Caenorhabditis elegans: one gene and its partner. The protein of the gene in region 2 interacts with the protein of the main gene of each other region in a pairwise test. Each region holds a gene or a part of one and is shown on either strand. Other genes may lie near its edges.

Evidence for each region.
Region 1: the proteins of adk-1 (region 2) and vps-33.1 interact in a two-hybrid assay, tested with the Caenorhabditis elegans proteins (one large-scale study listed by BioGRID).

The regions. Positions count from the first base shown.
Region 1 is NC_003281.10:8,698,827-8,703,920, reverse strand, and holds vps-33.1 (Vacuolar protein sorting-associated protein 33A), read right to left. Parts: upstream 2,995-5,094; coding exon 2,938-2,994; intron 2,882-2,937; coding exon 2,759-2,881; intron 2,702-2,758; coding exon 2,540-2,701; intron 2,495-2,539; coding exon 2,414-2,494; intron 2,368-2,413; coding exon 2,270-2,367; intron 2,177-2,269; coding exon 1,666-2,176; intron 1,620-1,665; coding exon 1,457-1,619; intron 1,411-1,456; coding exon 794-1,410; 3' UTR 580-793; downstream 1-579. Other genes in the region: Solute carrier family 12 protein B0303.11, read left to right, coding at 1-10, 60-144, 198-292, 337-478; sdz-1 (Skn-1 dependent zygotic transcript 1 protein), read left to right, coding at 3,588-4,075, 4,124-4,355; B0303.7 (SH3 domain-containing protein), read right to left, coding at 4,727-5,094. UniProt on the Caenorhabditis elegans protein: Plays a role in vesicle-mediated protein trafficking to lysosomal compartments including the endocytic membrane transport pathways.
Region 2 is NC_003282.8:11,208,761-11,212,914, forward strand, and holds adk-1 (Adenosine kinase), read right to left. Parts: upstream 2,072-4,154; 5' UTR 2,045-2,071; coding exon 1,970-2,044; intron 1,897-1,969; coding exon 1,580-1,896; intron 1,519-1,579; coding exon 1,413-1,518; intron 1,353-1,412; coding exon 1,026-1,352; intron 974-1,025; coding exon 770-973; 3' UTR 549-769; downstream 1-548. Other genes in the region: R07H5.9 (Kinesin motor domain-containing protein), read left to right, coding at 1-19, 81-148, 193-382.

The DNA of each region.
Region 1 (5,094 bases), on a different chromosome or scaffold from region 2:
GCAAACAGACGTTAGTTTCAAGATCTTCCTAGATTTTAAAGTGTTAAAAATGTCTATAGATACGATGAATTCCGAGCAAAAATTGACAAATACAAGGTGGAAACCAGCAGCAGTGGTGAGCCTGTAGACGGATCATTTGATAATGTGAGTTTATCTATATTAGAGCACATGCGTTACTCAGAATTTTGAATTTTCAGAATCAAATATTCAATTTGCGAGAGAAGACTAGAAGCTTCTTGCGTGCATCGGAACTTATTCGAGAACACAGTTCAGATGCTGATCTGATTGTTTGGTGAGATTTGATTTGTTTTCAATTTTTCATATTCATAGTTACAGTACTCTTCCATCAGCTCGTCCTGAAATCCCATCACCAATTTATCTCGGATGGATCGATATGCTCTCCCGTCAGACACCCCCGACATGCCTTGTACGTGGAAATCAAGTCTCGATGAGTGCTCTTCGTTTGAAATTCCCGTAATTCTCAATTAATTAGTCGCATTTCAAATTGTTTCTCTACGGGCGAGTCGGACGACGATTGATTTCGTGATTGTTATTGTTCACGGTGATGATGATTATGATAATGTAAATAAGTTTTATGAATTCAATAAACAGCTCTCTATTTTCAACTTTAAAACATTAAAATACAACGTATACTCACAAGAAATGAAATCACAGGCAATAATTGAATTTGGTAGGGCCAGTTGGATAAGGCACAGAGTGGAATTGGGAATTAAACATATGATAGTGAGGAAAAATCGCGATTTTGGGTAAACGATATACATTGAAATCATTTTTAAATATTGGTAATATTATTCAGAAGCTTATCGCCAGTTATCAATGCACTTGTAGTGATAAGTGCAACATTCGGAAGATTTTCTCGAATAATTGCCAATTCCGATCGTGTTAGTCCTCCAATAACGAACACACAGGTCCCTCTGCCATCTCTTTCAGCAATCAAATCTGATTTATCTCCAATTACAGTTTTTGGCCAGCCGACCCATTTCACTCGATCTCCTTCTTCAAGCATTTTACATAAAAGTGGTGAGAATCCACTGTAGGCGTAGGCCATATCATCAAGTTTTGCTTCACTGAACTCTTCTGGCAACATATCGTGATTTTTCTTCATTTGTTGGAACATCATTTGAGCATATTCACATTGCATCTTTCCGCCACCTCCTTTTTCACGAATCAATCCCATTTTCTGCATTTTCAGAACTTTATTCAAAGCTGAAGATCCATAACTTTGATTGACAATTCGACGATAGTGTTGGAGAACTGATGGTTTCAGGCCACCACATGTCAGAGAATGAACTGAAATGAGGCGAAGAACAGCATTCAATGGAGAAGCATCAAAGATGAGATCTTCGATTAGTGGAATCGCTTTATCGCTGTCAGAATATTCAAGGAGATCTGAAATATAATAAATACTTACAGAAAAATAATTAGAATTTTGAACCTCGTTCCAATTTAATCGAATCCGACTGCTTACAGTACACATGTGATTGAATCATTTCGGCAAGTCGCATGTGCACTTCAATCATCTTTTTTCGATTAATAATTTTTGGCATTTTCTTGACTAAAACCGAATATTCAGCAACTGACATCTTATCTCGATCGAACTGAAATTTAAAAATAAATATTTTGTGATCAGTGTTAATAACCAACCTGTTCGTCATCTCTAATTTCAGCCAAAACTTTTGATGCTTCAATACTGACAGCATTAATATGGGAATGTTTCAGTCTATGATACACCTCATCAATCAAATAAACTTCTTTTTCTTGAAACGGATCTCCATCTTTTTCGTTTTTAAATTCCATTTCTGGCACTTTTACAGAATTCACCATTCCAATTCCATAAATCTCATCAAGAAGTCCATAAAATGTCAGCTGAGAGAGCATTGGTGTGAGTGGATCCATCCATCGATCGATTAGAACGATTCGATTAATTTTGAGAAGACCTTCAATTGGATCCAGATTTTTCGTCATACTATCCGCTTCAGCAGAATTTCTAATTTTTCCCATCATTTTGGCAACGTCTGAAGCCCATTTTCCTTTTGCATATATTGACATTGGACGTTGATTTGATGATGAAGAACGTCCACGACACATATCAATTAGTTGATTTAATGCAACAGCGCATTTATGTAGATGGGTCCAATCTCCGTTTATCAGAAGTCTGGAAATATTAAATTACGTTTTAGAAATGATTTTTTTGAAAATATCTGTATTAATAAGACGTTTTTAAATAATTTAATCAGCTAAAAAATACCTTGCAGCTATTTGAGGACTGGAGAGTGATAGACATTCGCCGTCTCGTGGCAACCAGCACAATGGAATTTCTTTTACCGATTCCAAACGTTCCCAATACTGAAAGATATTTAATTGATTATAATAAACTTTTGTCAAACAATACTTTTCCTTCTGCCCTCGTTTTCAGACTTTCTCGAACGACAAACCACGCCTCGGGAATGAAGAACACTTGGTACAGGATTTTCTGAACATTTTAGTGTAAAATTGTTAGAATTTTTTCTTTTCTTACCGAGTCATTCCGCACGTTATCAATATAATCACATAGTAAATCCAGTGAAACCATTGTCGGAGCCAAAAAGAAAACGACGTGTGGAGTGGAGGCGGACTTTTTGGTTTCGATTGAATGATTTGCAACAACTCCATGGGCAGCAAGAACTGATGCACCGGCAAACTGAAATTAAAACTTTTTTTTCAATTTTATGTACTTTAAAATATATTTTCTACTAACCAGATTAACTCTGTGCATTACACTCCTATCCCGATCCCAAACAATTGTTTTATTCCCGTCTAAGGAGTCGAGCACTGAGAAAAGAAGATTCCTACTGTATTCATTTGCACTTTTGATTTCGCTCTGAAATAAAAAAAAAATGAATAGAATTGTGAAAAATTTATTTTTAGAAAACTAACAGTCCCTTCCCAGTTGAGAATTGCAGCTGCATCATCTCTGTCTTCATTGGCTGCCATATAAAATTGAGAGAATTAATATTTCAAATAGGTTAAATATAATTTAACAGAACATGAGTCAAAAACTTCGAAAAATGAAAAAATAAACAAAATTCCTAAGCCAGAAAAATAAATAAATACTTCGGGGACGAACTTTCCACAAGCGCGCGCTATTGAACTTTTTGCAGTTGTTATGCCAGCGAAGTTAGTCCTCGTGCTAAAAACGGAGGTGGTTTAAATTCTGGTTTTATAGGGGACCCTCTTTCTGATTCAATAGTTTCATTCGGTGTGATTTTTCATTTGAATTCGAGCTCCTTGACATACTATCTCAATTTTGTTTCGTCGGCAAACCAAAAGACAATGTGCAAAGTATACTCCCAAGTATACAAAAAAGTATACAGTATACAGTGGCATAGATAATTCCTTTGTTCAAGAAGCTAAGATCTTAAGATATCCGATATGATGACAATCATTTGCTAAGTATCCAGTTAGCATGAGAAGATGTGAATAATCATCACAATGACAAATTTGCATAAAGGGGCGTGGTCTAGTGGTTCTAGAATTGGTATATAAGAACTCCGAGTTCTGAACAATTAGTCATTATTCATTTAATAATGTTGAGATATATCTTTTTCGCTGCTATTCTTTTCTTCGTCTTCCCAAACACCGAGTCCGCTGGATTTCTCAAATTTGAGTTAACAGCCGACAGAGACTGTCTCCTTCATTTGGAACATTCTTCAACATATTCTGAAACAGTGCGCCTTCTAGCATACGAATCCCGACCATTGGAAATCTATACTCAAGGTTCTATTAATGAGATTCCAGTTCATTTCCAACTACTTCATCATTTCTCTGGTAAAGCATTATCAGAGGCTAAATTTCAAATTTTCCAATTGAAAAATAATGGACTTTGGGATTCAAAAGTTATCGATACTGATAAGGTTATTCTTTCGGTTCGTTCAACTTTTTATTGTGAAAATGGATATTTCGGTCCAATTTGTGATCGTCGTTCACGGACTTTTGCTCCAAAATCTGATATTCAAACTTCAACACCTGGATACCAAACTCAAGTTTTGAAATTTGATTTCAAAATAAGTGACGAGTAAGTTTTTACATTCCCAATAATTCTAAAATTATAATAATTTTTCAGCATAATCATCTACTCCTCTCTTGCATTTTTCGTGCTCCTGCTCATTATCTTCAACTGTATTCTGTGCTGCTATCGCCCGAAGAAGTCTCAAAAATATCTAGATGTATCACTCGGTTCTCCAAAAGTATTCTCTATTTGTGGATACTCTGCAGATAAATCAGGAAACACTACAGAATATTTGGATGCACCAAGCCGATTTTTCTCGTCTACTAAAATTGAATGTGTCGTATAAATATTTGAATAATCGAACCTACATAATATTACGTTCATCATATTGTAACAAATTCTTCAAATTCATTATTCTCCTCAATAAATTTACTTTAACATTTTTCTGAAGTTTTGGAAGTTCACAAAATAACTATTATAGTAACGCAGAGAAATGAGCTATTTGAAATTGATCTACAAACGTTAATTGGAAACGCTAGGCCCACACTTGATAAGGCAATTTATTGAAAATACATTTCTAGAAAATTTGACAATCGGCACAAAACACGCATCGGGGAAAATTTGAATTTTGTAAATAAATGACATATTAGAAAATACAAAAAACTGGCACATATAAAGCTAGAAAGTGAATTTAGTGAGAAATAATCAAGACCAGAATCAATTTTCCAATTTGACAATATTCTTTGGCAGAATACCCGCTGGCAAAGTCTTGAAAGCTTCCAATTTTCCCTTGTAATAGTAGTCATCAACATCTTCCACAATCAATAAATGATCGCCACGTGTCACATAAAGATGTTTGGGATCTTCGGAATGATAGTCACCAGTGGCAACTGCCTTCTTCGGAGAGAATGCACATGCAATTTCAGCGATTCCTTTTGACGGTGCCTTCTTTGGAGATCCGTATGGTGGTCCCAAGAAGGTCTTCGGAACCATTCCCTGTTGTCCACGACATTCTGCGAGCAACCATTGAGCATCAATGTCTTCCAGGGCTGTGATGACGTCACCTTCGAATAATCGGAGGTCAG
Region 2 (4,154 bases):
CAAGAACGTAGGATCTTTGGTAAGTTGGAAATATTTCTTTACTATTTGAGATAGAACAAAGAATCATATTTAAATTTCAGGATGAAAACGGATGTGTAAATGTCAAAGTAGTTGTCATCGAGAGACCAATCATCCGAGATAAACTCAGGTTTGATTCGTTTTCAGAATGAGCAATTGATAAGTAAGTTCCAGACCGATTGCTTTCATTGACAGTGTATTGTCTGCTCATGTGAAGAGCATTCTAATCAATGTCCTTCATGAGAACTACGAAGGTCTACCAGCGGAACAACTGATCAAATCAACTAATGTTCTTTTTGCTTTCCTTGATAAGAACGGCGTACAGAAACTTCGACGTGTTCGGAAAAGTGACGTTGATCACTAACAGTTTTACAATTTACCAAAACTGTAAGTAATCATATTCCTCTAGTCCTGATAAATATGCAACAAACTTTATTTCAGCCGTGGCAGTGTCGTTCTGGTTCTGGATCTGATTGGCTTTGTCGAAAAGGGGAAGAAGATTCCAATTCAAATCGACATGGATGAAGAATAAAACTTTGCCATTTTATTAAAACACCTGATAAATGAATTATAAGGCACATTTTGGGAACATTTGACAAAAAAAACAACACCAAAAGAAAAATTTCGAATAATAGGGATGCTCGAGGACGGGGAATGGGGAGCAAAACAAAGAACAATTTGATATACTATAAACCAGGGGACTGGGAAATTGAAAGCAGAGAAAGTTGGGATCACAGATTATTTTATCAGTTTAATGGTACTTGCAAACAGATGGCACTGTGCATCCGTGCTTCTTGATGATTTCTTGAGCAGCATAAGATCCACAGGTGACTGAAGCTTCGACTCCCTTTCCTTGGATGAATTGAGAAAGGAAACCTCCGACAAAAGCGTCTCCGGCACCGTTGGTATCGACGATTTCTTCCTTTGGAAGACGAGTTACTGGGAATTCGGTGACCTGTAGATTAAAATTGAAAACAATAAATTCAAAAATTATCAAAAACTCTCACCTTATCTCCTTCCACGACGATGACTGGCTCTGGTCCTTGAGTGAAAACAACGAGTCTTGGCTTAGTAGATTTCTTTGGAAGTGCAGCAGCCTTCAAAGCGATCTCCTTGACACAGGTGGTCTCCCATCCATTGGCTTTAGCAAAGGCAGCAGCTTCGTCTTCGTTTCCGAAAAGAACATCGACCAATGGAATGATTTCCGAGAGCTTATCGAAGAAAAATTGGGAGATGAACGGGGCGGAGAGGTTAAGGGTGAAAGTCTTGTTGAATTCGGCAGAGTGGCTTGCGAGTTGGAGAATAGCTGGTGGGCAGACAGTGATGAAGAATCCCTGAAAATTTTACATTGAGAATACTTTTGTGCTTATTTGTAAATCAATTCGATAACTTACAGTGACATAGAAATATTTGGCCTGCTCGATGATCTTCTGATTCTCCTCCTTCTGGAGATGATCTTGAGTGAAGGTGTTAGCAGCAGCCAAATGAGCACAGAGTGATCTGAAATCATTTCAACACGGCAACGATGATTTTTCTGTCCGTCAAACAATGATCCGCTTACCTATGAGTTCCGTTGATGAGGGCTGCGCAGGTACCGGTCTTAACTGTCTCGTTGATCTGATAATGCACATTCACTCCAGCTTCTTTGGCTTTCGATGCCAAAAGATCTCCGTACTGATCTTTACCAACAGCTCCAAAGAAAACTGTTCGGTTTGGTGCGTTCAAAATCCATTGAGCAACACGGAGCGAATTCTGTGCGGCTCCTCCTGGAATGTACTCGACTTTGAAATCTCTGGTAAGCTCGGTGAACATGTCATTGTGCTTGTCGTCGCAAAGAATGGCGTCGTTTTCTTTGAGTCCCCATTTGTCAAGGAATGCCTGTAGATTTCAGCAATTAAAATGAAATATTTTTGAATGTGCTTCTAGATTTCTAGAGAAATCAAAAACTTACCTTTTCAACGGTGGTTTGAATGTCCAACAATGGATTGCACATTCCGATGAGGGTGTTTTCTGGCAGAGGAGACATTTCCGTGACGTGAGGAGATGGGATTACCTGCAGATAGACAATTAGAAAATGAAAAGTGAGAAAAAGGCGAGTTTTGAACGAGTAAATAGACATAAGAGAAAACAAATAAGAAGATTGGCAAAGAAAGAGTGCGAAAAAACCGTTTTCGTGCTTTTTTGAACACGAATAACGCTGTAAAGCCAAGATATTTTGTGTTTTAGGACAATACATTTCCACGAAATCCACGTTGTAATTTGAAATTCCGGCCGAAAGACATTTTTGATAAACAACGATCGCATGGGATATCGGAGTGTCGTTGCAACGTGTTTTAAGATTTTATCGATCATAAATCTTTGCTGACAGAAGCGGAAAGTTTTTAAAACACCGTTGCTATCTTAAAAAACATGAACGTTTAAAAAAACCAAGAATAAAATTTGCAAGTTTCTAAATGTGGAAGTACCTCCTTCAAACACAAATTAGTGAATGCTATTTTGAATAATATTTTGAATAATATATTAATAATGGCTGATTGTTTGATGAATACTGTGTATTTCTTTTCCAATTCTACGATTTTAAAGTGGGAAGCAGTTATGCGGAATGGTCTCGCCAAGAGCCGTCTATTGATATATTTTTCTCAATCAATGGCTGGCGCGTGGCGAGACCAATCCGCATAAATGCTCCTCCCTTTAAAATCGTAGAACTTGAAAAATTCATAGTAAAAATACGATTTTCGAAAGTGGGAGCGATGAGTTTCCAGAAAAGTGAACGATCAGGCGTGGAAATTCAAATGTAATAAGATAACTTATTAGAACTTGGACAAAAATGAGAATGAGTTACACACAAAGTACACGATTCTGATGAGAAATGCGCCTTCCAACTAGCCTATCTTCTATTTTATCGTCCATTACTCCCCAGTCTGTCTGCAGTTTCTAAAAGATCTCCGCTATTTCGTTATCGGTTTTTTGACCGGCAAATTGTGACACTGATAGTATCTACCGATATGCCATCTAGCCTCAGAACAAGAAAAGTTGGCTAACTTGCGGTGGTGGTTTGAACGAGACAATTTACAAGTTATGTTCAATTTAGAAAACAATTTTAGTTGTCAATGGCTTTTAAACCTAGCAATTACATTAAAGTCTATTGCAAACAGTTTAAAATTGAAACTAAGCCTGAATAAACAGACACAGTGCGTAATGCAATTTTCATGTGGAAGTTGCAAAAAAGATAGAAAAAAGAGAAGAAACTACAACGGCAACTGTTATGAAAAAACCGATTGATTTCCATTGTGTTCTATGAACAGAAGGTGTCTCCTGCACATAAGTTCTCAAAATGAGAAAAATTTTCGAAAATGGCCTGATTGAAAGTTGATAGTCGATCAATTAATGATCTATTGGGGTTTCTATGTGGAGTAATATAGAAGTTGTACTCATATTTATTGGCAGTAGTTAAACAATTACCTATATACTCCGAAAAGTAAAAACTACAAAGTTTTTTTCGTACCCACGTTGTGAGTTGATACTCAGCTAATAGGTGAATTTTCATATTCTCCTTCACTGCACTATTCACTATATATATAATAGATAGCCGTTATAGAGCATTATTTTCTATGAAAATTAAACATTTAAATCTTTTTACTTATTGTAAATAAATACTTTTAAAACCTACGTTTTGAAGAACTTGCATATTTCAATTAAATGAAAAAACGTGTTACAGATTTAATATTGCCACTGGAGATTTAGTCTCAATAAACTCCAAGTAGTCTAACATGGCCGCACATTAGTAAATTGCCAAAATTGGCCAAAAATGCGTATTTTTGAGTTATTTCAAGCATATTTGTAGGTCCAAACTATTTAAATTTTTTTCTTTGAAACGGAACTAAAAAATGAAACTGGTAAATGTAACATTTTTTCTACTTCCAAAATTATAATATAGAAAAACTCTTAGTTTTCATTCCTTTTGACTGTATAAAAATTATTTCAAAAATTTTGCGAAAAGTTTTACAACGATATTTGGAGCAGTTTTAAACAACTTCATACTGAAGTTACTCAATATTTAAACCATATTCTGTGCTATTTGAAACACTTGAAACGAAACGAGAAGAAAGTAATGAAGACAACCAACTATCAGTAAA